Elephas maximus indicus: one gene and its partners. The protein of the gene in region 1 binds, or shares a complex with, the protein of each later gene. Links are inferred from orthologs where the notes say so. Each region holds a gene or a part of one and is shown in the gene's direction. Other genes may lie near its edges.

Region 1 (10,307 bases):
AGTAACTTGCCCAAGCTAGTTAAGTGAGAGAATCAGGATTTAAATCCAGTCTTGCTCTTGGAAATGTGTTTCCTACAGGTATTCTACACTACACACAAGAGGCACTCAAGTCTTTCGGTATACAGCAAACTATACCAAAGTCTGGTTTGGCTCCTTGTAAATGAGTAATCTTTTTTTCATTTATTCAGTAGCCATCTTAAATTCTCTGGTGTGTTGAATGTCAAAAAAAAAAAAACAAACAAACTTTTTGATCTTTGTAGCATCTTTCTTTGCAGCTTTTCTAATCTATAGGAAAGCATAAGAGAAACAAGTTTGTATCAGTTTCTTTTCATCTTTATTATCACTACACAAGAGGCTTTCCCCAGGGCAGCTCTGTCCCATCCACTTTAGTGATGGTGATGAGACAAAAGTAGGCAGAAGTAGCAAAGACTATAAATATCTTTAGGGAATGTTGTCTACCACCCAAATAGCAGTAGAAAAGCAAGCAAGCCTTGCATAGGCCGAGCTCCACTGAACACAAGCATTTACACAAGCTTCTGTACCAAGTACATCCAGACGGATGCATTTTTCAGTGACAAAAAAAAAAAAAAGAAACCCTCACAGACTTAAGTAACCTAATGCCAGAAAATAAATACACAGCAAAAGCCATATCAGCAGAACATGTGCAATGCTTTGGCTGCTCCTAAGTCTTTGAAAGACTTCTGTATGATAACTGGTTGGAACTTAAGTGTCTCTAAAGAGGAAGCAGTGTACTGACACACACTGTGACTATATGCCTGGGGATAGCTCACTCGTTTAACCATATATGGCTTATAACATTTGGAAGTCATTTGAATATATCATCTCAATATATCAGCTCTTGTTGAGAGTCCTACCAGTCCTGGCAAGCAGCACCGGAACTATTACACCCCATTTTCCAATGAGAAAACTGAGGGTCGAGAGATGCTAGTGCAAGGTCAAGCAGCTAGTAACAACATGGGGCTAGGGCTCAGAACTTCTGTCATCTCAGTCACACACAACACTCAACACCGTTCCTCTGTCTGGACTTCTAGGACAGTCAGAAGCCGCTCCCTCTTTCCGGTACAGGTACCTGCCGGAGCTGACGGTGAAAATCCGCCCCCCGGTGGCTCAGCTGGAGGCCCCCAGTACCATTTTAACGATTCAGAGTGACAGAAATACACTGGGCTAGATATGGTCAGAAATCAGTATAATTCTAGGCAAGACAGCTAAGTCGAGCCTCTTAAATTTGCATATTTCTTCCCGTCTACTTTTTTCCACATTTAAGAGTCTCACCTGAGATAAAGTTTCAGCGCCTTGTAAACGACTATGAAACGTTTCGAAACCTGTAAAGCGCTATACCCACGCCGAGTTATTTCGGTGCCGTTTCCCAAGGCTCCACCGGCCCTTCAAGTCTGCCCAGGTCGCCCCTCGAACCCCGACCGGTCCCCGCCCGACTTCCTCTCCCGCCCGGTCCCTCCCCAGCCCCTGCCCCAGCGCAGTACTAACCCTTGCTTCTCAGCTCCTCGAGGCAGGAGACCGCCACGCCATGCAGTTCGAGGCTGTGATTGCGGCGCAGCAGACATGGCTTCAGTGCCCGGATCTCGCCGGGTTCAGGAGCCCCGGTACCCTCAGTCACCTCCATCCTTTTCAAGGTGGGACCTGAAGGACTGGGAGAAGTCAGGGAAGCTCGGTGCTGCGGTCCCCCCACCCCTGCAGCATGCCGGGGGATGTAGTTCTCTTCCCTCAAATCACCCGTGGGACCAAGGCACTCCGGGAGATGTAGTTCTAGTCGCCTCTAATCACGTGTGCGGCCCCGGGGCATGCCGGGAGTGGTAGTCTCTCCATCCAAAGCGGACTTCAAACCCAAACCCAAGCCAAACCCAGTGCCGTTGAGTCAATTCTGACTCATAGCGACCCTACAGGACAGAGTAGAACTGCCCCAAGCGGACTTCAGTTCCCCTTAAATCGCGCTATTAAGCGCAACAGGAGTTTGTTTCAACCTTGCTTAAAAAAAAAAAACCCAGAGTTGCAATTGCATGTTCACAAATGAGGCCAATAGGGATTTATTTTGCAATATGAAATACAGGCATTTGGAATCCCTTGGGTTTTTACCGTACTCTTATTTGTATATATGAAACAAAAGCCCATTGCCATCGAGTTGATTCCGAGTCATAGCGACCCTACGACAGAGTAGAACTGCCCCATGGGGTTTCCAAGGGGCAGATGGTGGATTCTAACTGTTGACCTTTTGATTAACAGCCAAGTTCTTAACCACTGTGCCACCATACATAAATAAGACAGTTGGTCATTGCACTGTGTAATTGATTTTCCTTTTCCAGCCTGAAAAGATCCCTAAGATGTTCCAAACCTCAGACTGACTTGAAAATTGATGAGTGTAGTTTTCAGTCTGGCTGAAACACGGAAAAAAGTAACATAAGATACCCACACATTTCCACCCATTTGATTCCCTGCTTTAGCTGTGCAAATTGGGTTTGGGCCCTCAGAACAAAATGCTTGAATAAAAAGATATAAACATTAAGGCTGCAAAGAAATCAGAGAGCAAAGGGGAAGAGCAAATCACAGCACTGTTGGGGATTCTCCAGATGCCGTTTGGCAATATGTTCATCTTTGTTCTAATACTACCACTTATGGAAACGTCTGGTTTGTTTCCCCGTTCGAGAACTAGCATTTACAATTTGAATAATTAAAAAAAAAATCAAAAAAGTTCCTCACTTAAAAGGGGGGGAGACATTTTATGTAAACAACATGCATCAGTCCCTTTTCACATTTTGGTTATAAAAACTTGCATGAAGAAATATCTCATAAGAAAAGTTTAGGCATTTAAAACAGTGTTTTATAAGGGGACTGTCAATTGAGGCAACCCTTATGTTATTGTTACTAGTTGCTGCCCAGTCAGCTTCGATGCATGGTGACCTTTTATAAAACTGAACAAAATATTACCCAGTCCTGTACCCTCTTCATAAGTCACTTTTGACTCGTGGTGACCTTGTATACAACAGAACAAAACATTACCCAGTCCTGTGCCCTCTTCATGGTATGTCTGAGGCCATTGTCTCAGCCACTGTGTCAATCCATCTCACCAAGGGCCTCCCTCACCTTCATCCATCCTCCTCCACTTTATCAATCATAATGTCCTTTACTAGTGATTGGTCCCTTCTGATGACATGTCAAAAGTAAGCAAGATGAAATCTCACCAACCTTGCTTCTAAGGAGCTTTCTGGTTGTATTTCTTCTGAGACTGATTTGTTCATTCTTCCAGCAGTCCACTGTGTATTCAATATTCACCAACACAATTTGAATGCATCAATTCTTCCATCTTCCTTTTTCACTGTCCGACTTTCACATGCATATGGGGCAGGAAAAGACCATGGCTTCGGTCAGGAGCACCTTAGTTATCAAAGTGACACCTCTGGTTTTTAAAACTTTAAAGAGATCTTTTGCAGCAGATTTGCCCAATGCAATGCATATACGTCGTTTGATTTTTTGGCTGCTACTTCCATGGGTGTTGATTGTTTATCCAAGTAGAATTAAATCATTGACAACTTCAATTTCTTCTTCATTTATTATGATGCCATTTATTGGTCTGTTGTTAGCTGTCACTGAGTCGATTCCAGCTCATGGTGACCCCATGTGTGCAGAGTAGAATTGCCCCATAGGGTTTTCAAGGCGGTGACCTTTTGGAAGCAAATTGCCAGGCCTGTTTTCCAAGGCACCTCTGAGTGGATTCGAACTGCCAACCTTTCAGTTAGTAGGGAAGTGCTTAATCATTTGTGCCATCCAGGGAACTCTTTATTGGTCTACATGAGAGGATTTTCGTTTTCTTCTTGTTCAGGCATAATCCATGCTGAAGGCTGTAGTCTTTGACCTTCATCAGTGTTTCATGTTGTCTTCATTCCTGGCAATCAAGGTATGTCATCTGCATATCGCAGCTTGTTAATGAGTCTTCCTCCAATCCTGATGCTGCTTTTATGAGTACCCTTATGTCCTTGTTGTTGTTAGGTGCCCCTAAGTTGTTTTCAACTCATAGTGACCCTATGTACAACAGAACAAAACACTGCCTGGTCCTGTTCCATCCTCACATTCCTTGCTATGCTTGAGACCATTGTTGCAGCCACTGAGTCAATCCATCTATCTGAGGTTCTTCATCTCTTTCACTGGCCCTCTACTTTACTAAGCATGATGTCCTTCTCCAAGGACTGGTTCCTCCTGATAACACGTCCAAAATACATGAGACAAAGTCTTGCCATCCTTGCTTCTAAGGAGCATCCTGGCTGTACTTCTTCCAAGACAGATTTGTTCCTTCTTCTGGCAGTCCATGGTATGTTCAGTATTCTTCGTCAGCACCATAATTCAAAGGCATCAATTCTTTTTTGGTCTTTCTAATTTATTGTCCAGCTTTTGCATGCATGGCTTGGGTGAGGTGCACCTTAGTCCTCAAAGTGGTATCTTTGCTTTTCAACACTTTAAAGAGGTCTTTTGCAGATTTGCCCAATGCAATAAGTTGTTAGATTTCTTGATTACTACTTCCATGGATGTTGATTGTGGATCCGAGTAAAATGAAATCCTTGACAACTTCAGTCTTTTCTTCATTTATCATGACTTTGCTTATGGGTCCTGTTGTGAGGATTTTTGTTTTCTTTATATTGAGATGTAATCCATACTGAAGGCTGTATCTTTGACCTTTATCATTTCAGTTAGTGCTTCAAGTCCTCTTCACTTTCAGCAAGCAAGGTTGTGTAATCTGGATATCAGAGGTTGTTAATGAGTCTTCCTCCAAACCTGATGCTGTGTTCTTGCATTCTTTTTCATATAGTCCCACCCAGTAACCCAGTGCTGTGGAGTCATTCGGACTCATAGTGACCCTATTGGACAGAGTAGAACTGCCCATTAAGAGTTTCCAAGGAGCATATAGTCCATCTTCTCAAATTATTTGCTCGGCGTATAGATTTTTTATAGATTGAGTAAGTATGGTCAAAGGATACAACCCTGACATATGCCGTCCTTATGAGTACTCCACAATTGGTCAAAACATAACTACAATATGAGCTGAACAATAATTCTAACGTACACATCGCTTTTCAAATACGTAATGTCACATTTAGTTTTAAACCTAATAACTCGACAGCTATAAAGCAATGACGGTTAGTAGAAGCCTCTCCCCCCCCCCCCCGCAAATGCTCCCTCTTCTGTGTTTCGCCAATAGTCCTACCCTTTTACCGAAGTTCTAGCACATCAATGCTGTAAAAAAAAAATTTTTTTTTTTTGCAGGGGGGTTGTGTGTGCCTGGGCTTGGGAACAGTGACTGGGGCTTGCATTTATTTCCGGCACATAACAAAGTTCCTGGGAAATACTAGGCGCTCAATAAACGGTACTAAAATTTAACTTTCAAGTTTCATCCCATTCAATTAATACTTAGCGAGTCACTACGTGTGCTCAAGGCACTATGAGGATGGGCAGAGATTTAATTCAATAAGAATACTATACACACAGCAATACAAAAAGGATAGACTTCGGATCTTCCTCTAAAGCAGAGACCTAGTGGAAATTGTGCGAGGTGACCTGGACACCCCGGTTCCCCCCTCCCCTTTATGTTCCCCATCGACCGGCTCAATTCCGGCTACTTTAGTCTGGGCGGGAAAGCCAGAGCGAAGGCGTTTGGGAGAAGCCTCGCCCAGCGGCGATAGATTAGTCAGGCCTCAGAAAGATGGCTTCCTCAGAGCAGGCAGAGCAGCCGAGCCAGGTAAGGGGAGCTGGACTGCCCTGCTGTGGCGACGGGGACCCCGGTGTGAGGGAGTGCTCGGCATACTGCCGGGAGGCAGGTGGCAACCCCGAGGTTCCGAAACTGGGGGCCCCGATCTCTTGTCCCCTCCCGAACCCCGCCCCTCCCTGGGTCCTCCCCGCCCCCCTCTCCCTATGACCCCTCTTTGACCACATTCCCGAGCTTGGGTTCGGGGGTTCGGCCGCCTCCGCGGGTCCCCACTTCCCGCCCGCCAGCACCTCCGGCCCTACTGGAGCTTTGGGATACTGGCGGGACCCTTGTGAATCCCCCATCCTTGAGCTTCGAGGGCCCCTGCTTGAGCAGTGAGGATGAGAGACTCAATCGTTTAAGGTTGTCCCCTCCGTGGGGGGGGTGGGGGGGGGGTGGGCTGACTCCGTTAGGATTCCCACTCCCCCGCAGCCTCAGCCTCTTGGAGTTGCCTCGCTGCTAGCTTCTTCGTCTTTAGTCACCTTTCGCTCCCTCCGCCAAGTTGGAGGATCGGGAGTGTACTTGGACCCTCTCTGCGTTGAGGGGAAAGGGACACGCGCTGTAAACAACAGACGCCGCCAAACTATCATCACTTCCGTGGATTTGACATTCTCGGCCAGGAGTTCCACTCTAGCCTTTCACCTACAGACTCAGCCAAATCCCAGTGCTGTAAGGGGACTATGAGGAGCAGTGTTCATCTGCTTTTAGGAAGCTGTGGATGATAAGGCCTCTGAAGGGATTTATAGTCCAAAGGTGAGGTGAGGCTGGGTGAGGTGAGTTGAGGAGGAAAAGGATAAGAGGTACCTTACATTTACTAAGTGTGTGCTGTCACGCTGAACACAAATTATGTTTATTACCTCGTTTAATGCCAGTTACAACCTTTATGAAGACAGTTAACCTTCGCTTTGCGGACATGTATTCTAAAGTTCCGTCACATGCCTAGAATCATGCCCCTGACTGAGTCTGGATTTAAACCCAAGTATGTCAAGTCAGCCATACATGTGTAGATTTACTTAGAATTAGACAGAGGATGAAGAAAATGGTTTCAACCTGGGACTTTATCATTTATCTTTTACTTCCTTGAAACATCTTTAAGTTTTCAGCAGCTTACTCCTCTGTCGCTTCCTTCCTAGGCAGAAGAACATCAGCTAGTGTTCCTTACTGTCCTATTCTTCATGATGAGCCTAGTACGGGAACTGCACTTAAAGGATTTAGTGTGTGCCCCAGATCAGGAAGAAGATGCCTGTATTGTAATGCGTGGGAAATAACTAGGGCTGACTCTGGCCTTTTCACTGTCGGAAATTCTGGAGTGTGGAAAGTGTCTTGAGAGAAGCGGCCCTCCTTTCTTGCCTTACCGCACTAATTTTGCTGAAATGTTGAGGCTTTTTGAGGCCTGGGCTTCTTTAAACTGTTATATGTTAGGAATACCCACAGGCTGTGATTGAAGGGTACCTTTAGGGTGTCTAATTTGCCAGTAGTATGACAGTCACTAAAAGTCTTGCCACTTGGAGCCATTGCAGTGTCCAAAAAGATCCCTTTGGTACTGGCAGTTGTCCTCTCTATTCATGTGGAAAAGGATCTAAGTCCCTTTAAAGGGGCTTGGCCCGCACTTACTTGGTTTTCAGCTCTGCTTCTCCTTTGCCCTCCTTTCCAAAGCTGGTAGAGATGGTATTGCATCAGAATATGCTGGCAGCCTGGGGGAAACACTTGAACTTTCTGTGAGTTCTCCATTGTAATTCCATCAGTGTTTGACAATAACCTGCAAAAGCACACCTCTTTTTTCATTTTGGTGAAAATGTATATACACCAAAACAACTGCCAATGCGACAGCTTCCATGTTTACAATTCGATGACATTGATTACATTTTTTCTATTTGTGCCACCATTATCACTACCCTTTTCCAAATTATTCCACCACCATTAATGTAAACTCAACACCCCCCACAAAAAAAAGAACATTGCCATCTAGCAGATTCTGACTCATTATGACCCTATAGGGCAAAGTAGACAGACTAGAACTGCCCCGTAGGGTTTCCAAGCCTGAGTTGAGTGCCCCCCAAACAAACATATGCATACCTTTTTTTAAGTGAACCAGCTCTCTTTAGCAGTTGCTTGTTTCCGTTTTCAAGCCCTGACTAAGCTGGTTTCCAATTTCTCCACTCCAAGCCGAATGGGCTTCTAAGAACCGTTTGGATAATTCAGCCCTGAAACCTAGTTTGTATGTGAGAAGAGCTGCATAGGTCAGACCTGTGGAGCTGAGTCAGTATTCCATCTCGCAGAACATTTGTTAATTGGCCTTGGGGCATCAGTCTCTGGTTTCAAAAGATTAAGGGTGAATAGCTCTCTCTCTCCTTGAGAGGCAATATACAGCAAAGACTCTGAAGCCAGTCTCCCTGGCTTAGAATTCTAGTCCCACTATTACCAGATGTATAATCTTGGGCAAGTTACTTAACTTTTCTGCCTTAATTTCTCCATCTGTAAAATAGGAGTAACAGTAGCACCTATCTCATAAGGTTGCTGTGAGGATTCAATGAGTGAATTTATGTAAAAGTGCTTAAACAGTGCCTGACACAGAGTAAGTGTTAGCTGTTATTATTCAAGAATAGTTCCTGGGTGGTGCAAACAGCTGCTAACTGAAAGGTTGGAGGTTCAGGCTCACGCAGAGGTACCTCGGAAGAAAGGCTTGGGATTCTGCTTCTGAAAAATCAGCTGTTAAAACCCCTGTGAAGCACAGTTCTACTCTGACACACATGGTGTTGCCAAGAGTCAGAATTGACTCAACAGCAACTGGTATTAGTCTATAGACTCTGGATTTTCACTCACAAATGAATCTAAACCTTTACTTAAGTCCTATTTAACAGCTTTTAGAGTGTGATTTTTCATATGTTGACCACCAGTCTGAATTGACTCTTCAGTAACTAACAATCACAACAAAATGGGAGTAATAGTAATTACCCTAGAAGGTTGACTGAAATCACGGATGTAAAGAACCATGTACCAACAAACTATGGTCCATCCACATAATGAGCTACTGTCCATTGGATGGTTGTACCATAGTTTGTTGATCCATTCACCAGTTGATGGACATTTGGATTGTGTTAGTTATCTATTGTTACATAGCAATATTACCAAACTTAGCAACTTAAAAGAACACACATTTATTATCTCACAGTTGTTTTGGTTAGGGCAGGGTTTATCTGGGTCTCACAAGGATGCAGTCAAGGTGCCTCCTGGGACTGTGGTCTCATCTGAGGCTTGAATGGAGAAGGATCTACTCACATGGTTATTGGGATCATTCAGTTCCTTATAGGCTGTCAGACTGAGGGCTTCAGTTTCTTGCTGGCTGTCATCCAGAGGCTCTCCTCATTTTCTTGCTATTTGGATCTGCCCAGCACGGCCATTTGCTTCCTCAAATTCAGTAAGGAAAAGATGTTTCTTAGCAAATCAGACTTTGTGGTCTTATGTAACATAATCACATGCATAAAATTACATATGTCTTATTACCGCTGCTCTACTGTATTGGCCCAGAAGCAAGTCACAGGTCCTGCCCACACTCAAGGGAAGGGCTGAATGCTAGGAGGTGGGGATCCTGAGGGCTACCTTAGTCTATCAGCCTCAGGATTGTTTCCAGCTTGGGGCTGCTATGAATATTCATGTATGTTTATGAGGACATGTCTTTATTTCTCTTGGTAAATACCCATGAGTGTAATTGCAGGATCATATGATAAAGGTATGTTTAGCTTTTTAAGAAACTGCTTAAGTGTTTTTACAAAGTGGTTGTACTATTTTTCGTTCCCGCCAAAGTGTATGAAAGGTCCAGTTGCTCTACATCCACACCAATACTGACTTTTGTCAGACTTTATAATTTTAGCCATTCTACTGGATGTGTAGTGTTATTTCATTGTGATTTTAACTTGAATTTCTGTGATGACTGATAATCATCTTTTCCTGTGCTTATTGGCGAAGGCTGAGGTTCATTTTTTTCTGTATGGCTTCAAAAATCGTTTGTTGAAAAGTTTTATCTTTTTGCCATTGAATTATCTTGCCACCTTTGTAAAAAATCAAATATTTGTATATGCGTTGGTCTGTTTTTGGGCTCTGTTCTGTTCTATTGATTTATACGTCTATCTCAGTGCCAATAACACACTGTCTTTATTGCTGTAGCTTTATAGTAAATATTGAAATCAAGCAGTGTAAAGTCTTCTAACTTTATGCTTTTTCGAAATTGTTTTGACTGATCTAGGACCTTTGGTCCTTTCCACCTCCATGTAAATTTTAGTTTATGATTTCTTAATTGTTCTTTAGATGAAGTTTTACAGAGCAAATTTGTTTCTTATTTAACAATTAATACACACATTGTTTTGTGACATTGGTTGCCAACTCTGTGACATGTCAATGCTGTGCCCCTTGGGTTCCTTGTTACCAGCTTTCCTGTCCCCTCCCACCTTCTTGTCCTTGCCCCTGAGCTGGTGTGCCCATTTAGTCTCATTTTGTTTTATGGGGCTGTCTGATCTTTGGCTGATGGGTGAACCTCAGGAGT
Region 2 (9,151 bases), on another chromosome or scaffold:
TTTTTTCATTTGTCTCGAGTGTGTTCATAGTTGCTCACTGAAGCATTTTTTAAATCATGGCTGCCTTACAATCTTTTCCGATAATTCTAACATTTCTGCCATCTTGGTGTGGCATCTATTGTCTTTTATTATTCAGTTTGTAATCTTCCTGGTTCTTGGCAGGATGAGTGATTTTGGATTAAAACCTGGACGTTTTTATGTTTTGTTGTGAGACTTTGGATTTTATTTAAACCTTCTGTTTTAATTGGCTTTCTTTGACACCACTCCAAGAAGGGAAGAAGGAAATCACTCTTCTGGTACCACCATCTGGTTACTGCCAGATGGAAGTAGAAATCGAGGTTCCTCATTTGGCCACCATTAATACATGAGTAGGAAGGGGACTCCTCATTACTGCTATGTGGGCTGGGAGTGTCCTGGCTCCCCACGTGGTCTCCACTTACATCTCAGGGGAGAGACGGAGCTGTGGCCTGTGGAGATAAAAGTTCTGGCTCCCTATTTGGGCTTCTTTGGTACCACCCTAGTGGGGGAATTGGGGTGCTTCCTTATAGCCTCATAAGGAGAGAAGTCTCTGTTTCCTACTCAGCCTTCACTGGTGTTGGTGGGGCCATAGTTTTTTCTTTCATGTTTAGTTGGAGCAGAGTAGTTACTGTCTAAAAGTTTCTGTCTTGGTAGGCTGCCCCTTCCCCCGTCCTAGAGAGAGCAGGTCTTTGTTAGAGCTCTTTTTGTCTGCACCCATTGGTGTTGCTGTGTTGCCGGCTTCTCTAGCACCCAGTCTGGGATATATGAGGCAAAAAGAAAACCTAGATTACTCACTGCTGTGTTGTTCCTTGGGTCCTGAGGTCCTTAGCTGGTCTGCCTTCTTTTCTCCATCTTTCAGAGTCTTCTTATGTTTGTTTTATATATCGCGTCTACGGTTTTTAGTTGTACTCAGTGGGAGAAAAAGAGAAAAGCATGTCTACTTCATCTTCCTGGAAGTGAATTTCCCCTGTCAAACTAACAAAACAAGCAAAAACTGAAACACATTATTTATCTGTGTATGCTGTAGATATTTGGTTGAAAAATACTGAAAAGAGAGTAAAACCACTCATTTGAAGAAATTCTCCAAATAAAAAACCTTATTTTGTTTTTCTTTTTTTCCTTCTTCCCTTCCATTCTTTGGGGGTGGTGGGAGTAAGGGATCAATGGGTTCCCAACTGGATTTTGGCAAGGGTGACATATTGTGAAAATTCCCTGGATTTCTAGAGGTGGTAAGATTCTGCTACAAGCATGGGTAAGGGGTGTCTGTAACACAGTCCTGCTTTTGGTTAGGCAAATCCCCTGCTGTGTAGCTATAGAATGGTTAGGTATTTTGTACTCAAATGTAGATGGGTTATGCCGGACATAGCTGATTATATCTAGATATCACTACTCTGAACACTTTTAAAGCCAATTGGGATTTGCCCAGGTATACACAGATGGGTCCAGTTTTGGGATTTGCTGCATTTCACCATACATGCAGCTTTCTTCCTTTGTCAAAGTGTCTCTGCCAACGGTAACTACTGAGGCTGACAGGACAGATGAATAATCATAACCAACAAACCCTTTCAAATGTACATGTGTGAAGACTGTAGCTTGACGTGCAATATCCAGAGGAAGGAAACTTCCCTTACTCTGTGCGTTGTGTCATTAAAAAACTAAAGAATCAAACCAGACGGTCGTCCCCATTTCCCAACCCCCACCTCCAACAACATGGAATGTGAAATTCAACACCTAGGGAGCAGAGATTTGTTGCTCAGCTGAAGTTGTGAAAGAAGTTGGTTGCACCTGATGTGGGGATACAGCTTTTCAACTACCTTAATCTGATGATAAAAACTAGGTAAAGTTGTAACTGAAGAGTTGGACACCATTATCAGTTGAGGGGAACGGCTTTAGGGATTCATGACACAGCAGACAGAACTCTTCTCTGAGACACAACTGAGGGTGTTCACTTGTGGTTCAGATAGCATCATTTTGGGACCATACAGTTCCTATGTCTAGTGTCCTGGCCTTAACTCTCTGACCTCTAAGTGCCTGTACTGTGGTTCCAAATTTAACCCAGTAGCCTTGAACTACCTGAGCCAGTAAATTTGCTCAGGTGTATAATGACTTTGAGTTAAAATGTCTGATGTTTAAGAGAATCTGATGATAGGCCTTCAATCTGAGAGGTAAAATTGATTTTAGACTTGTGATTTTAAGTTAAAAGGACTAAGAGGATTTTATAAATGTACAAGGGTTGAATAAGAGGTTAGAAAGAAAAAGAGGTTAGAAAGAAGGTTGTTAGCTCTGTCAGGCATATATAATGCTTTAACATATATATATATACATACATATATATATATGTGTATATACATATATATATATATATATATATATATATATATATATATATATATATATATATATATATATATATATATAGAAAGTACCCAAGGAGTTCAAAATATTTAAGGGACTTTGATTTTTTAAAAACAAAGTATAGCAAAGTAGTTAGAAGTACGGACTCTGGAACTAGACCGTCTGTGTTAGGGGTTGGCAAACTATAGCCTGCCATCTGTTTTCTGTATGGTCTGCAATCTAAGAATAGTTTTGACATTTTTAACTGGTTGGAAAAAAAAAATCAAAAGAAAAATATTTTGTGACGTTATATGAAATTCAAATTTCAGTGCCTATAAATAAAGTTTTATTGGAACACAGCCACACTCATTCATTTACGTATTGTCTATGGCTGCTTTCATGCTACAATGGCAGAGTTGAGTAGCTGTGACAGAGACCATATGGCCTGCAAATCGTACAATATTAACTATTTGACCTTTTACAAACAAAGTTTATTGACCTTGGTCTAGGTTCAAGTCCCAACTTTGCTATTTATAAGTGGTATAACTTTGGGCAAGTCACTTCTCTGCGCCTCAGTTTCCTGTCTGTAAAATGGGAATAGTAGTTGCTATATAGTTCATATGAGGATTAAATGAATTAATACTTGAAAAGTACTTAGAATAGTGCCTGGCACATTGTAAACACAATGTAAGTGTTTAAAAATTGTTTGAAGGAATTTAATCTGTTAAAATTGAATTAACTGAATATTAATTAAAGAGAAAGTAAAAGTGATTATTTTATTTTATATGTTACTACTCTTATAAATAGAATAAGAATGTATAGCTGAATCTGGATTAACAAAATTTAGGATTTTAAATCCAGAACTTCAATAAACTAAATATTAATTAAATACCCACGTAACTCTATTAGTTCTCTGCCAACCCTAGACACCCTCTTGGACTTGTGGACCAGGTTCTGTGAAGGATTCTACGGCTTACAAACCAGGCTTCTTTAAGACTAGGAGGCCTTGCTGTGTAATGGATAGATAGATACCTGGAGTTATGCCTGGATTGAATTCTGACATCTTAGTTGTGTGATTTGGGGACAAGTCTTATCTGTAAAATGGGGTTAGTAACACCTATTTCATAAACATGTTATGAAAATCAAAAGTGCTAATGCTCATAAAACATTTAGTGCAGTACCTGGATTTGAGTAAGCACTCAATAAGCACCAGTTGTCATTATTACCATTCTCCCAAGAGTGGGCACATAGTGAGTTATTGCTTCTAGCAGAGCAGAAAGTAATGTGTGTGGTATGGTTGGAGTGTTACTGGGAAACCCTTAATGCCTTAATGTCCTGAAAGTCTACCATATCATATGCTTCCAGTTGAACGTTGCCTTCTCCAAAAACCTAAAACTAAATCCATTGCTGTGGAGTGAATTCTGACTCATGGTGACCCCATGTGTTACAGAGTAGAAATGCTCCACAGGGTTTTCTCGGCTGTAATCCTTACGGAAGCAGATAGCGAGGCCTTTCTTCTGTGGTTCCTCAGGGCAGGTTCAAACCAGCAATACGTAGGTCTGTAGCTGAGTGCAAACCATTTATACCACCCAGGGCAAAAGTGCCCTGTCCAGGGATTCTCTCTTTTGGAAGTATGCACTTTCTAGAGGGCACCTGTTCCTCCTTGGTATGGTTTAATTCATTAGTACTAGATATTTACCTGGTGGCGCGCTGGTTAAGAGCTCAGCTGCTAACCGAAAGGTCGGCAGTTGTAATCTACCAGCTGCTCCTTGAAAACCCCATGGGGCAATTGTACTGTCCTATAGGGTTGCTACGAGTCAAAATCTACTCAACGGCATGTTTTAAGGTATATTCTTTACAACGGCAGCCTGAGAACAGTGGACACTCAAGGGTCAGGATTTGTGTATTCCAGGGGAAAAGAGGTAGTGGATTAGGGCCTCTGAAAGTGGGTGAAAATGCAAAGAAAAGGAGAAATTTTCGACAGTCTTCAGGTTTGTCCTGTCATTCTGTTTCCCTGAGGTGTCTAAGAACAGCTTCTCTGCCTTCCCAGGGTTGAGTTTACAGAGCCAAGTCTCTTTGGTTCCCTGGGGCCTCCACCATCGAAATCTTTACCAACAGCCAGGTAACAGGACTCACCTAGGGCTTCACCTGCTGTCTGTCTGCCTCTTCGAGTGCACCCTGGGCTGGGATGATACTTCTGTTTGGCTGAGTCTACCATACCCTTTCTCATCTACCAGCAGCCCTGAGCCCCTCCTGCCCTTCTACATGACACCAGGACTCCCTTGGTCTTGGAGCCAGGTCAGAGACCAGGGTTTGTTTCCCAGTGACCTTGAGGTTTGAAAGCTGAGCCAATTCCCTGGCAGATGGTGGGGCCTGAGGCTTAAAGTCATGTTCTGCATTTTTTGCATCAGCCGGAAGGAGTGGGAATAAGGCCACCACAGTGACCTTAACCACAGGTGAGGGAGGGGAGTGGGGGAGAAGTGACTCACTGTACACCTACCTTGTATGTTATCAGCTTTAAGTCTCAGGATGTGTTGGACCCTATTTTAGTCTCTGGACTTTGTCATCATTCAGTGCTATTTTCCCCAATACGCAGAGGTGGAAAAGGGATTGGCTGCAGGCCTCTGTCTCCATGGAGACTGTGACGCTATCCCTTTATGGGGACTTTGGAAGAGAGGCAGACCTGGGAGGCTGGAAAAGGTCCCCGACTTGACTAACTTCCTCCTGTCCCCGAGTCTCAGCATTAGGGTTTTTCTTCTACCCGCTTTGGGGCTTGGGAAGACTGGCCGTTTTAGAGGGGTAAACTGAGGCCTAGGAAGGGCAGGGGATGACATTGGGTCACAATGAGTCCCAGGAAGAGCAAGGATGAGCTGAGCCCAGCAACCTGGGCCCTCGGCTTTTTCCCCAAAGTCCGGGAAGCCCCTCAGCTCCATTCTTCCTTGACCCTTCCATCAAATAAATCTGAGCGTCAGCGACCCTTTCAAGCGCTTCCAAGAGCACACGCTCCAAGATTTTTCTTTTAAGGAGCCCTTCCCCTTTAAGATTCACCGCTCTTCCCATTACGCGGCGTCGCATCCTTAAGGCCCCGCCCCTTCAAACAGCTTCCGCCGAGCCGCGACCGCAGCGCGGCGGTCACGGCCCCTTTAAGCCTGAGCCCCGCCCCCTGGCTCCCCCTTCTCTACCTTCCCCTCCCCCGCCAGTCCGGGTGCCCCGGCAGCTCTTGCGGCGCGGTGCGCGGCGGTAAGCAAAGGGTCCCGAGGGGGCGCGGGGACGAGTTCCCCGTCTTCCCCGCCCTTGCTGTGTCCTCGTGGGGCAGGGCCAGAGCAGATGGAGTGGTGGGGAGCGCGGGAGGGGTGGGCCGGGAGCGGGTCGAGCAGAGGGAGGGGCCCAGGTGACCTGGGGGAGGGGGTGGCCCCCCGTGGTGTTCAGCAGACTACCGGGGGGTGTCGGGGACAGGGCTTACGGTCAGGCGTTGTTACTCCCTTCTCGTGTCCGCCCAGTGTCCCAGTCCAGCGCGGTTGGAGAAGCGGCCCCTGTGGCCCTCTGGTGTCCAGGCCACTCCGTAGGGGGCGGGTGCTGGCCGGGTTCAGCCGGTCGAGACCACAGACGTGGAGGCTGCCGAAGAGGCCCAGGCTGAAGGCTGTGGCCTTTGAGGGGGCGGCGGGAGGGTCCCGGCACCCCTTGGAGGTCAGGCAGAGGTGTGGGCCACAGTAAAAGGCACAGGGGTGAAGAGTAGCCAGTGACCAGGGGCCTGACCCGTGAGGGGCCGATGTTTGCTAGCCTCCCCAATATGCGAGCTGAGTTGGGGGTTGGAGAAGGGTCTGTCTTCAGAACCTCAGTTCCAAACCTCTGCCCATCAGAGAGCTGGCGGTCACCATGGCAATGCGGGAGCTGGTGGAGGCAGAATGCGGGGGTGCCAACCCACTCATGAAACTGGCTGGGCACTTCACCCAGGACAAGGCCCTGCGACAGGAGGGCTTGAAGCCTGGCCCCTGGCCTCCAGGAGCCCCACCTCCAGAGGCGGTGAGTGGAAAGCCCAAGTGGTGGCTGGGATGGAACGTCCAGGTGTACACCTTGGATAACTAATTGCTTTCTTTATTGTGCTGCAAATAATAGTTACCATCTTTTTAATGAGTGTTTACTCAACATTATACTAAGCACTGTGCATTATTATATAGACGAAGTAAACAATTTTATACATAAAGAAACTGAGGCCCAGAGAAGTTATGTGACTTGTTCAAGTCATGTAACTAGTCAGTAGTAGAGCTGGAATTTTAACTCATGTTCAACTGATTTCGCCACTGTACCGTATTGCCTTCCTTTGTGTTCTGTCTTAGGTCTCTAAGCCTTTGGGAGTATCCTCTGAAGATGAGGTAAATATATCAGTGTCATTTCCACTGTAAACTGTTAAGCACTCGACTGCTAGCCAGTGGGTTGATAGTTTGAACTCACCCAGAGGTGCCTTGGAAGACTGTCCTGTTGATCTGCTTCCAAAGGTCACAGCCTTGAAAACTTTCTGCAGCAGTTCTACTCTGCACACATGGGGCCGCCGTTAATGGGCATTGACTTAACAGCAACTAACAACAACATTGTGCTTTTATTTTTAAACTTGCCTCACCCATATTTCAATCTTTGGTCTTCCCTGAACAAATGAGATTTGCTTTAGCTCTCCTGCTTGTTTTTTTTTTTTTTTTTATGTATTATTTGTTTCCAAATCTATGGAGAGTTAAGTTTCTCTCTCTAATTGTCTCCAGTTTCTATATTATCCTTTCATTGTATCTGACATCAGTATCTCTCATCCAGTGGACCCTGTCTCTTGCTGGGACTTCCCTGACCCCGTGGGTTCATTTCACTATCTTTTCTGACAGCTGGTGGCTGAATTCCTGCATGACCAGAATGCATCACTTGTATCCCGTGCCCCTCAGACCTTCAAGATGGATGACCTCCTGGCGGAGATGCAGGAGATTGAACAGTCCAGCTTCCGCCAGGCTCCCCAGAGAGGTGGGTTCAGAGTCTGGTGGGAGGGGAGGTCACCATTTTCTGTGTAGGCGGGGCCAAGGGGGTTCCAAATTTGAATGCTGATGACATTGTGGAACTGGATATAGAAGGAAACAAAAGGAGCATAGTGTTTTCATGTGCATTCAGGGTTACTTACTAGGCATAAAAGAAATAATAAGTATTTCTTTTTTCTGTTTTTAGCCCCTGGTGTGGCAGACTTGGCCTTGTCTGAGAACTGGGCCCAGGAGTTTCTTGCAGCTGGAGATGCTGTGGATGTAACTCAGGATTATAATGAGACTGACTGGTCCCAAGAATTTATCTCTGAAGTTACAGGTGAGACTCCTTATTGGAAAATCTGTAATGGTTTCAGTGGAGGCAATGAAAGTTCTATACTGCTCCCCTAATTCATTTAAGGGTACAGGGTGATTTCAGCTGTTTATTATTTTTCTGGCCTCTTGACATATTTTTATGTAGGGCATTTAGCATGATTTCCCTTAGGTGATAGTAGGGAGTCGAAATTTATATTAAGCAGAGGACTGAGTTTGAACTGGGTAAGAGATTTTTCCAAATCCGTATAGTTCAAACCCCAATGTGTGTGTGTGTGTGTGTGTGTGTGTGTGTGTGTACGTACATATATATGTACCACGAAGAATTAGGTCTACCTCTTTGTTATCTGGAACTTTATTACTACAGTTTGGTAGAAAGGATCCAGAGAGATTGGGTGGATGGCTGTGTTGCCCAGGAAGAGAAAAATATCTGCCAATAGCTTCTGTGATTCTGGCAATAAGTCATCTTGAATATAGTTGGGGCCTTGGAGAGTGGGGCTGTGGAGTTTAAAGCCAAGACCATACCTTGATGATAATAATAAAACTTAATAGCTAATATTTTGTTCAGGGCTTTGTGTCAAGTTGTTTAAATGCATTATGTATTTAATCCCTATGAGAATTCTTGAGGTCCTTACTGGTTTTATTTCCAGTTTATAGATAAGGAAACTGAACCATAGAGGTGAAGGAAATTGCCCAGCTTTGTAAGCGGTAGAGTTGGGATTTGACTCTGGGATGAATGATTCTCTTCTTTTTTGATTGGCCACAGACTTCAGGGTCTCAGCCAGGGCTTTGAACTGGTTTGAACCGGTTCAGTCACGACTGACAAAGTGAAACCAGAATAGACTTGAATTTTTAAAATTTGGATGATCCAGAACCATAACTGGAATGGGAAAAATTATGGGTTGAAGCTGGAATGGGAGACTTCGAAGAGGTGTGGTGAGCCCTTTCGGGAGGCTGATAGTTGAGGTTGGATTATTACCAGCACTGAGGAGAGTGACACACAAAGTGGTGCAGTTGACCACCATCTTTGAGCTGGGCACAGCTCTTTCCGACTCTGCACAGAATCCTATGGGCAAGACATTTGGTTGCTATGCAACATGTACACTGCCCTTGTTTTCTAAGAGGGAGATTAAGTTTCACGTAAGGTTTTGACCCATAATTTTTCCTGTTCTAGTTGTGGTTCTGGGTTACCCAAATTTTAAAAATTCAGATCTGTTCTGGTGTCACCTCCTTGGCCATGACTGAACTTGGAAGAACCAGTTTGAAGCCCTTGTCTCATGCTAACTTTTTCCTCTTTGAGATTGTCCATTGCGCACTTCATGCCTTGGGATTGATCCTTCTGTCTGTAAACCTACCTAATTTTTTCTTCCTGATTGGTTTCAAAGAGAAGCACCATTAGCCTTTTCCAATTTAAGAAATAAAAGAGAATGAGAGGCACAAGTGGAGAAAGTTACAACGATTCTAGACTCTAAGGG
Region 3 (9,701 bases), about 150 Mb from region 1:
AGGTCTGAATTCATGATGTCAGCTCTAGGGAAAGGCTTTCTCTCTGTGTTGGCTTTGGGGAAAGGTCCTTGTCTCTTTTTAGCTTCTGTTCCTCAGTTCCTTCTCTTTTTATATCTCAAAGGTGATGGGCTTGTGATATACCCTACAGTGACATGATCCAATAATATAACAAAGAAAGCCCTATTCCCAAATGGGATTACATCCACTGGTATAGGGATTTAGGATTTACAGCACATATTTTGGGGGGACACACAATGCAATCCATAACAATATCCCATTTCTTATGCCCTCCAAATGGCAGTGGGCATGGAAGCCAGTTTTAACCCTTTCTAGGACCTGACCCTGATAATACCCAGACTCAGTAGAGTGTGGGTCTAGGTCCATGAGCCACTTTGGTACTGAGAAGGGAAAAGCTGGATATAGCAGAAATAGCGATTGTTATCCCTTTAGATCTATCCCTCCCGGGGGTGGGGCCTGTACCCATATAGTACGATTGCTAAACCACAGTGATGAGATCATTTGAGTTGTTGTGTACAGCTTTCAGCCCTCTTTAATAAAATACTCTTCCCCTGTCCTAGACCCGAAAAATCCTGTCTGCATGTGAGAAGAACCCCACGGATGCCTACCAGCTCAATTATGACATGCATAACCCCTTTGACATTTGTGCTGCATCTTATCGGCCCATCTACCGTGGAAAGCCAGTAGAGAAGTGTCCACTCAGTGGGGCCTGCTATTCCCCTGAGTTCCAGGGTCAAATCTGCAGGGTGACTACAGTAAGTACTGACCTCAAGAAATGCCTCTAGGATATTTCGGAAGAGAAAAACAAAGAAGCATGGTGGTCTTTTCTCCTGGATTTGGCCCTAGCTTCTTTAGGCAGTGATAATGGAGAAAACTAGAACTTCGCCACTACCCCATACCAATAAATAGCAAACACCTGTCTACGGTGTCCATTGAGGGGTGGAGGGAATCAGCATTCTAGGCTTCCCACCCTCACAGATCCCTAACTTTTCCCTCTCTTTCCTCTTCCACAGGTTACAGAGATTGGCAAAGATGTGATTGGTCTAAGGATCAGTCCTCTGCAGTTTCGCTAGGGTCCCCTTTTTGTGCATAGGGGAGTCATCATATTTTCCTTCCAGAGAATGCCCCTCTATCATCCTTCTAATGTCCCCCTACTCCCAACTACCCCTCAGATTATTGACATTTGGCTTTCCCTATGCTAAAGCCCAGTGCACTTTTCTTTTTTATTATGGCTAATCAAAATGTCTAACACTGACTTCTTTGCCTATGAAGCCCTCTCATCTTCTCATGGTGACTACAGTTGTGGTCATAGTTGGCCTGGCCCTCCCAGCTTAGGTCTTTCAAGAAACAAATGAAAATTCAGTGATGAGCATTCATTTAGTAAATTCATTCATTCAATATTTGTCCCTCCCCTTCCCAGCATCTTTGTATCCTGTTTGCTAGAAAGGAGTGGAATGTAATAAGATATGATTTTTTTACTCAACTCTCCCAAACTCTTAGCCATTCTCCCATTTTCTTGGGCATTGAACCTCCCAAGTAGGTACCCTCTGTGTGCCTAGAAATTTAAGGTCTGAGAGGAAACCATTTGATTTTCCAGAAGTGTATACCCCTTTATGTTGATTTGTCCTTTACAACCATTGTTCTCATATTTTGTTTCTCATACCAAATAAAATAGATTTCTACAAGAGCTTCTTGGCTTGCCATTTCTTTCCTGGACCCTCTCAGGTTCTCCTCACCCCATGCAGCTGCCTCACTAAAGGAGATATCTTTCTTGCAATAGTTATTTTTAATTACAAAACAACTAATACCACTGTTTAAAAAAAAGAAGCATAAATTGTTCATAGGATGTATGTGAGGTATAGACCTAAGCTAAGAATGGTAGGCAGCAGGTAGCTTTTCTATTCCATTTTTCACTGCGGTCTTTCAGGTATGCTAATTACAGCCATTATTTGTTGTGCCTGTTACTGCTCTAGGTGTTTTATATGTAACACGCATATGTAAGAGTCATTAGTAGTACACGTATATATTACGGTGCTTACTTTGGCAATATTGTATTTTGCTTGTCCAGTAATGAGACTAATTCAGTAAATAGTGATGTTCTGTGCCTTTGATTAAAATATGTCCATTTTAAATTTTTAATGTTTTTAATAAACAATACATTTGCATAGCTCAAATATCAGTAAATGTAAAAAGCTATACTGTGACAGCTGTTCCTCCCACCCCTTCCTCCAGCCACCTAGTTCCTTTCACCTTTCCCAAAACAGGTAACCACTGTTACTAGCTTGCTTATACCCTTCCAGAGATTTCTTATATATATACAAACAGATACATGCTCTTTCCTATCCTTCTTCTATGTACAAATGGAAGCATCCTATTTAACAATTCTGCACCCTGTTTTTTCACTTAGCATATTTTAGAGATTCTTCCATATCAGCATATTAGAGAGCTGTACTCTTCTAGTGTTACATTATATGATATGCCATAATTTATGTAAGTTGTCCTACGTTGGTAGATATTGGAATCATTTCCATTCTTTTGCTGTTATAAACAGTGCTGCGATGAATTACCTGAACACACATTGTACAAGTGGGGGAAGTATACATGGAGATAAACTCTTAAGAGTGGAATTCTTCCTTCAAAGAGCACCTGACCCATTGCCGTTGAGTCGATTCTGACTCGTAGCAACCCCATAGGACAAACGAGGACTGCCCCATAGTTTCCAAGGAGCGCCTGGTGGACTCGAGCTGCTGACCTTTAGGTTAGCAAACATAGCCCTTGACCACGACGCCACCAGGATTTCCGCAAAGAACACAAGTCTTTATATGTTTTACCTTTATACTAAGAGTCACTTAATATAAAGCACACCCAAACTAACCCTGCCTTCTTAAAATTTTGTATACTACTTTGATAACACTTTCTCAAGTTATAAACATTCTTTTTGTAAACAGGCAAGTTCGTTTGTCAAAAAAGACACCTTTTTGTAAGTTTAAAAATTAAATTACAGTCATGCACTGCATAACATCCATTCAGGCAACGTCCGACTGCATATACATCCGTGGTCCCATGAGGTTATAATAGAGTTCAGAAGTCTGGATCAGAGAACAAGATGTAGTAGTGGTAACCAGATCGCAACAGCTTCCCGCAGGTAACGTATATCTCATGTCTTTTATATACAAAGTGTATGTGCTGCCAGGGTATAATGGTACGGTGCATATGTAATCTATAATAACATTATGCCTTAATAGCCATAATAAATGTCTATGTTACTGTCTTACATATATACTGTACTTTACTTTCTGTTGTTATTTTAACATGAATTTTCCCTACTTAAATAAAAAGTTGATGGTATAACAGCATATGCTTCGACTCAGAGGCAGCAGCATCCAATCTCGTGTATTGTGCATCTCTTGAGTGTTGTAGCGTTATCTCTATTTAATTTTCTTTCTAAAATACTACTGTGAAGTGTATCATGGCTCCCAAACGCAGCAAAACCAGTGCTAGCGATAGCAGCAGCAACAGGCAAAGGAAAAGTATCAACTTGGAAGCAAAACAAAAGTCATTAAACAACACGAAGGTGGGAAATCAGTAAATGCTATGGCTCGCAATTTAGGCATGTTTGTACCACATCCAAATCACTTAACATCCTGTTTCACAGAATGTCTCATGGATGTTAAGCAATGCATGACTATAAAATTAACTTTGCACGGAACATAAACATTTGCCTAAACTGAGGGGTATGAAAAAAATTGACAGACCCCAGTTCTTGAAGCTTATGTAACTGAGGAGACAAAGTGGACGTAAGTGAAATAATTGTGAATGCCCGACGAAAATTTGAAGATGGCCAATAAACAGTGGAGTGTCATTCAGTTCTTAAATAAGAGTGATGTCAAGGAAATGCTGTAAAATATTGTTTTGTAACACTGTTCACTGTATGTTAGAAAGAAGGAGCAACCAGGAGTTGAGTAAATACTGAGCTGAGGTGTTAGGAATCTTAACAGTAAAATAGAAAAGCAGAAACAAGCTTAAAAGATACTGCAAAGGAAGAATCATGCTGTTAGAGTCTCTTAATTCTCAATTATCATCTAGTAGTTACCATATTAAGGTGCTTATCTTACCACAATGGGAGTACTAACTTGTAGTTGGACAAAATGTTATACTTTTAGCATACATGCCTGATAAAGCCATATTAGAGACACATGTATAAGCAGTTCCGCGTTGAATGAGAAAATTAGCCTGGAATCAATTATGTGACAGGTGTTTGAATAGGGTGTTAGAGTACCAACTCCAATGTTAGATATTCGTAATCTGAGTCCTAGATTAATGAAGCGTTTTCAAAAGGACAGAGTGATTTAGTGACAGAGTTGGGACTAGAATTTAGGTCTTCTGGCTCTTAGTTTAGAATGTTTTCTCCTAAATGACACCACTTGCTTGCTTGGAAGTAAACAGGTTTTGCAGGGGTATGACTTTAACAAGTCTGTGCCATATCCGAGAAGGGAAAAGGTAAGTACACACAGTACTCAAATGTTTGGGAATCTAAGGGCCAAAGAGATGAAGTGAGTTACATGTGATTTTTTTTTTTTTAACATAGATGTGATTTTTCCCTTCTTTTAACCTTTATAACACCTTATAAACTTTATCGCTTTTAAGACACCTTGTGTCATACTTACTGTGTATATGTTTACTACTGCCTTCAGCCCAATCCCCAGACAGCTACTTTAGGGCAGGAGCTGTTCTTGATTTATCTCTATATCCTTCACTGTGCCCAGCACAGGATTTTAAACAATGGTAGATACTGAGTTATAAAATAGTTTCGTCTCTGAGGGAGTTGCATTCTGACAGATCTGAATAGGAGTTGCCCAGAATCATCTCTATCTGAGCTTTCCCCTCCGCACTCAAAATTACATTGGAAGTTGGGTTCCATATGGAGAAAAGGAGATAGGACAGAGAAAGCCAGAGAGGCTAGATCAGGTCTGTTACTACTACATTTGAATTGCCATTTTGCTCAGTCTCAGATGCCAGAGTTGCTTTTTCTGCCTGATTCAACTAACATTGAGTTCTTACTACATTTGAATTACTACACGTGGCCTTGTGTCCGTTAGTCCAACAGTTCTAGTGAAGAATAGGAAAAAGAGATGTCCGTTAGATTTGGCACAGAAGCGGCCTAATTAAGGGTCTGGGAGAGCAAAGAGTGGCCAATGAATGCCTGTTAAATACTTTAGGAGCTGGGAATCCAGCAGAGAAGACAACGGACAAAAATCCTTGCCTTCATGGTGCTTAAATTCAAGTGTGGTGGGAGGCAAGAGACGATAAACAAGATAAAAAGTATATATATAATATGCCCTAGTGGCACAGTGGTTAGCTCAGGCTGCTAACCAAAAGGTCGGCAGTTCATATACACGAGCTGCTCCACCAACCGCTCTTTGGAAAACCCTATGGGGCAGTTCTGCTCTGTCCTATAGGGTCGCTATGAGTTGGAATTAACTCGATGACAACAGGTTTGGTATTTGGTTCGGTATAGTGCTCAGTCTTAAGGAGAAAAATATACCCAGAAGTATACATGTGTATGTGTAGGAGGGATTGCAATTTTATTCAATGAGGCCACAGAAGGGGGTCTCAGAGAAATGGCAGTTGAGTAAAATATCAAAGGAAGTGAGGGGAAAAATAGTGTGGGTTTCTATGCACTCTAATTGTCTTCTTGGTGATACATGGGTAGCTTCTGGTTAGGTGTAGGGAGCTTGTCCTAATCTGGCCTACCCACAGCTTGGGAAGAAGTAATGAAAGATCACTTCTCTAGGTATGTGGGAAGTTGAAGTAGAGGAGGCCAGGCCAATAAGAAACCTGGCAGAAGATCACAATATATTGCCCTCGCGCTAGTTCAGCAGTTCCCAGCCCATGAGACCATGCAAAGCTTCCTGTCCCTTTAAAAATGGCGGCTCCGGCCTACCAACAATGCTACTGGCTGCACAAGGCGGACGGGGGCGGGCGAGTGGGCGGTGCCGAAGAGCCCAGCCCCCTACGGCAAGCCGGAGGTAGCAAGATGGCCGCCGCGGAGGGAGACTGTGGAGTTGGGGCCGAGGCTGATCGCGAATTGGACGAGCTTCTGGAAAGTAAGACCCGGTAATGGGAAAGGCCCGGAGGGGGCGGGTGTGAGGACCCATTCCGGGGCTTAAATGAGCCTGAAATATCCGGGGCGGAGAGGGAGCGGGTCTCCAAGGGTTGGACGGGGACGGAGGTCTAACTGCGACCCCGAAGAAGATCTCTGGGTCACCTTCGCGGCAGGAGTTGAGGAGCTCATCTTTGGCCCCCAATGGCCCAGACCTAATGGCCCAGACAGTTGATCTCCCTGCCGGAGGGGGAACGGTAACCCACAGAACAGGATTCCTCGATTCCTCTCAAACTCTTCTTGCTTTAGATTAAGAAGTTCGTGAAGTCTTAACTTCCCGCCAGCCCAGCATTCTGTCCGCGGTGGGCAACGAAACCGACAGTCATGGATTGCTAACATTAACTCTTCAAAAACCCGTAGTGCGTCCTTCAGTGCCCCTGTCTTATCCTTAACGCAAAAGACACTTCTGTCCTCCTCCTAGTCCTATCACCCTTCCCTCACTAGTCTCCTTTACGGTTCTTACATCACGTCAGTAGCTCACGCGGACTACTTTCCTGTTTTTCCTGAGAAATTGAGGGTGAGCCGGCTTATAAAGCAAGCCAGTTGACTCTCCTGAAAAACGGTGGATGTTCTTTTCTTCCTTGGCCCTGTGTTGGTTTCTTGCCCAGAGTGAGGCCAGTGCCCTCCCCCTAGGCCTGGCAAGCAGAGTGGTGGTGGAGACCCAGAGGTGAATTTTTTGTCTTGCCCAGTCACAGAGATGTGGGAAGGTGGAAAAATGAACAGAAACTGGGAGTGCCAGGCGACTGTTTGTGAATTGCGGAGGTGGGGCAAGAGGGAACCCTAGAAGCTTTGCTGAGGGAAGGCTAAATTGGAGGCTAAGAGAAGAGGGTTTAATGTCCTCCCATGGAGTGCAACGTGGAGCCCCTCAATTTGTACTAGCACCAGGACCAAAGGAAAGCTGGGTGGGATATCTTTTGAATTCTGCTTTCTTGCCAAAGGTCATTCCGTTTAGGGCTCCAGAATGAATTCTATGTTCCCTGCTCCTGTTGGATATTTTTATAGGCTTTACAGGGAATCATTAGGGCGTGGCAAGGAAGGCATAATGTAAATGGAGATGTACTTTGCCCTCTGCCCTTTTAACCCTTTCCTCCCAGGTCTGAGACCGGTTTGCTTGTTTCACCTTAAGAGATTTCTTCCTTTTTGATTACATTAAATTAAGTAATGGGGGAAAAGTGGGAGGCTTATTGAGGGATGGACTGGGAGGTGGAGACTCAGAAAGAGAAAAATTTAGAGAAGTTGGCAATTTGAAAAATTGTTCTTTTAATGCTCAGAAACCATCCAGCCTTTCTCCATCACCCATCCCCAACACACACCATGTCTCTTGTCTCTGAAGGTGCTCTTGATGATTTTGATAAGGCCAAACCCTCCCCAGCAGCCCCTCCTACCACCTTGGCCCCCGATGCTTCCGGGCCCCAGAAGAGATCTCCAGGAGACACTGCAAAAGTATAAATTCTACCCAATTAAGGGAGGGGGAGGGGAGGGCTATACAGGTCTGAACCGAGGTGGGTCAGGCCCCTGTGGGCCGGAGGGGAGTGGGAAAGGGTGCCTTGGCATCACATTGCTGAGTGCTCCTGCAAGTCTCAGTCTTTGTAAAACAAACTTCAGGTTGAGTGGAGGGATCTCAAGGACGTTCTCTGAGAAAAGAGCAGGTTTAAATGGTTAGATTGGTATGCCAGTCTATACCCTTCCTTCAGTGGCCAAATGCCTTTCTTGATGTCCTCATCGGGAGACGTAGTTAGAACTTCCAATGGAGGCACGTAGGAGGGAGGCACTGCATTTCTCAAAGCCACTGCCTGTAGCTTCTGCCACAGGCCAGGTGCAGTGAGGTGCCAAGTAAGAGACACATTTTGCCCAACCTCTCCTGCAGGATGCTCTCTTTGCCTCCCAAGAGAAGTTTTTCCAGGAACTGTTCGACAGCGAGTTGGCTTCCCAAGCCACTGCGGAGTTCGAGAAGGCAATGAAGGAGTTGGCTGAGGAAGAGCCCCACCTGGTGGAACAGTTCCAAAAGCTCTCAGAGGCCGCTGGAAGAGTGGGTGAGGAGGGGACCCCAGACAGCTGAAAATATGTTCAAGTCATGCTGCTTGAGAACACTGGAATTCTTAGTAAGGTTGATAGCAATCACAGTGTCACTGTTGTGGGGTAAAGATAAGGAGAGGAGATGGGAGGAGAGGTGGGAACCCTACTTAATGAAAGAGATGAGATAGGTTGGAAAGTAATAGGAAAGATGATTCAAAACTGACCGTTTCGAAGGTTGCACTGTTATTCTGGGTATCATCATGGAGAATAAACTGACGCATGGTCCATACGGATTTATGAAAATGACCATGAAGATAAGCATAGACTTTGAAGCTTTAGAATGATAAGCAATTCACTGGTAAATGCTCCTCACCAAAGCTGACAACTGTGTTAGTCTAGCCAGGCAGACCGTTAAAACCCCAAATGACCCTGGCTCTTTGGTCTGTCCTAGGCAGTGATGCGACCTCCCAACAGGAATTCACTTCTTGCCTAAAGGAGACACTAAGTGGACTAGCCAAAAATGCCACTGACCTTCAGGTGAGAGGCTAGAGGTAGGGGACCACATGGGGCCCACTCCCGGACACCTTCACGACCAGAGTCTCAAAAGACAAAAACTCTGGGGTATCATCCCAAGTCTGTCCCTGCCTCATTGTTTTGAAACAGTCAAGTTTAAATCGTTCTTCCCTGGGCTTCTACTTTCCCAACTGAAAGGGTGGTAAGCCATCCTGAGAAGGCAGTATGCTCACCGTCTCTCCTGTCCTCTCTAGAATTCAGGCATGTCGGAGGAAGAGCTGAACAAGGCCATGGAGGGGCTAGGCCTGGCCGAAGGGGGCGGGGAAGGGAGCTTCCTCCCCATCATGCAGAGTATCATGCAGAACCTACTGTCTAAGGATGTGCTGTACCCGTCACTGAAGGAGATCACAGAAAAGGTTTGTCAGTCCGCTTCTGCTTTTCCTCCTCCCTTGCCTCGTATCAACTCTTATGGGCTACTTTGTGTGCTCAGGGCCTCTAGAGAGAGACTAACTTGAATGCACAAGTCCCTCTGCTTTTTTTGTCTCCTTCATTTATGTGGAATGTGTAGGGTTGGGGGAGTTATGTCTCTGAAAGATGAGAGTTTCCATGCTGAGGATCTCTGGAGTAAGAGGGGAAACCCCTCAGCTCTCATTTTCTGTAGACCGGCTCAGGACTCTGGGTCATAGTCTCATCGACCTCTTTTTGCATTTGTGTCTTCGTTTATTTCTCCAACAGTGATTCGTGTGAGAATATACTGCATAGGTTCTCAGCACTGGCTTTGTGCCGTAAGTGATTTAAAAAGAGTTTAAATGATGAGCTCTGTAGTTAAAGAGCTTATAGTTTTATTGGAGATAAAATATAGGCCTAGATGTTTTTTAGTGACAGATAGCAACATGCAGTTAAGTGCAGAATGAGTAATATAGACCAGAAGTTGGCAAACCAAGCTAAAAAAGCTTTTATATTTTTATGTGTTGTAAAAAAAAAACAAAGA

What was found.
Region 2: the proteins of PEX14 (region 1) and PEX5 are in contact, whole or in part, in an NMR structure (PDB 4BXU), measured with the Homo sapiens proteins. The link is inferred for Elephas maximus indicus from reciprocal best matches to the Homo sapiens genes PEX14 and PEX5. Residues at the interface, in NP_004556.1 of Homo sapiens: Thr31, Phe35, Asn38, Arg40, Val41, Ser44, Pro45, Thr48, Arg49, Phe52, Lys55, Lys56; in NP_001124497.1 of Homo sapiens: Glu59, Leu62, Val63, Glu65, Phe66, Leu67, Gln70.
Region 3: the proteins of PEX14 (region 1) and PEX19 are in contact, whole or in part, in an NMR structure (PDB 2W85), measured with the Homo sapiens proteins. The link is inferred for Elephas maximus indicus from reciprocal best matches to the Homo sapiens genes PEX14 and PEX19. Residues at the interface, in NP_004556.1 of Homo sapiens: Leu28, Thr31, Ala32, Lys34, Phe35, Asn38, Ser39, Arg40, Val41, Ser44, Thr48, Phe52, Lys56, Leu58; in NP_002848.1 of Homo sapiens: Gln67, Phe70, Phe71, Leu74, Phe75, Ser77.

The regions. Positions count from the first base shown.
Region 1 is NC_064821.1:50,299,377-50,309,683, forward strand, and holds the start of PEX14 (peroxisomal membrane protein PEX14), read left to right. Parts: upstream 1-5,719; 5' UTR 5,720-5,725; coding exon 5,726-5,761; intron 5,762-10,307. Other genes in the region: DFFA (DNA fragmentation factor subunit alpha), read right to left, coding at 1,507-1,642. UniProt on the Homo sapiens protein: Component of the PEX13-PEX14 docking complex, a translocon channel that specifically mediates the import of peroxisomal cargo proteins bound to PEX5 receptor.
Region 2 is NC_064822.1:64,042,172-64,051,322, forward strand, and holds the start of PEX5 (peroxisomal biogenesis factor 5), read left to right. Parts: upstream 1-5,486; 5' UTR 5,487-5,592; intron 5,593-5,614; exon of another isoform or gene 5,615-5,687; intron 5,688-6,212; 5' UTR 6,213-6,228; coding exon 6,229-6,375; intron 6,376-6,689; coding exon 6,690-6,725; intron 6,726-7,220; coding exon 7,221-7,353; intron 7,354-7,551; coding exon 7,552-7,683; intron 7,684-9,151.
Region 3 is NC_064821.1:198,957,712-198,967,412, reverse strand, and holds the start of PEX19 (peroxisomal biogenesis factor 19), read left to right. Parts: upstream 1-6,017; 5' UTR 6,018-6,055; coding exon 6,056-6,125; intron 6,126-7,514; coding exon 7,515-7,624; intron 7,625-8,048; coding exon 8,049-8,214; intron 8,215-8,648; coding exon 8,649-8,734; intron 8,735-8,964; coding exon 8,965-9,126; intron 9,127-9,701. Other genes in the region: COPA (coatomer subunit alpha), read left to right, coding at 579-773, 1,032-1,091. UniProt on the Homo sapiens protein: Necessary for early peroxisomal biogenesis. Acts both as a cytosolic chaperone and as an import receptor for peroxisomal membrane proteins (PMPs).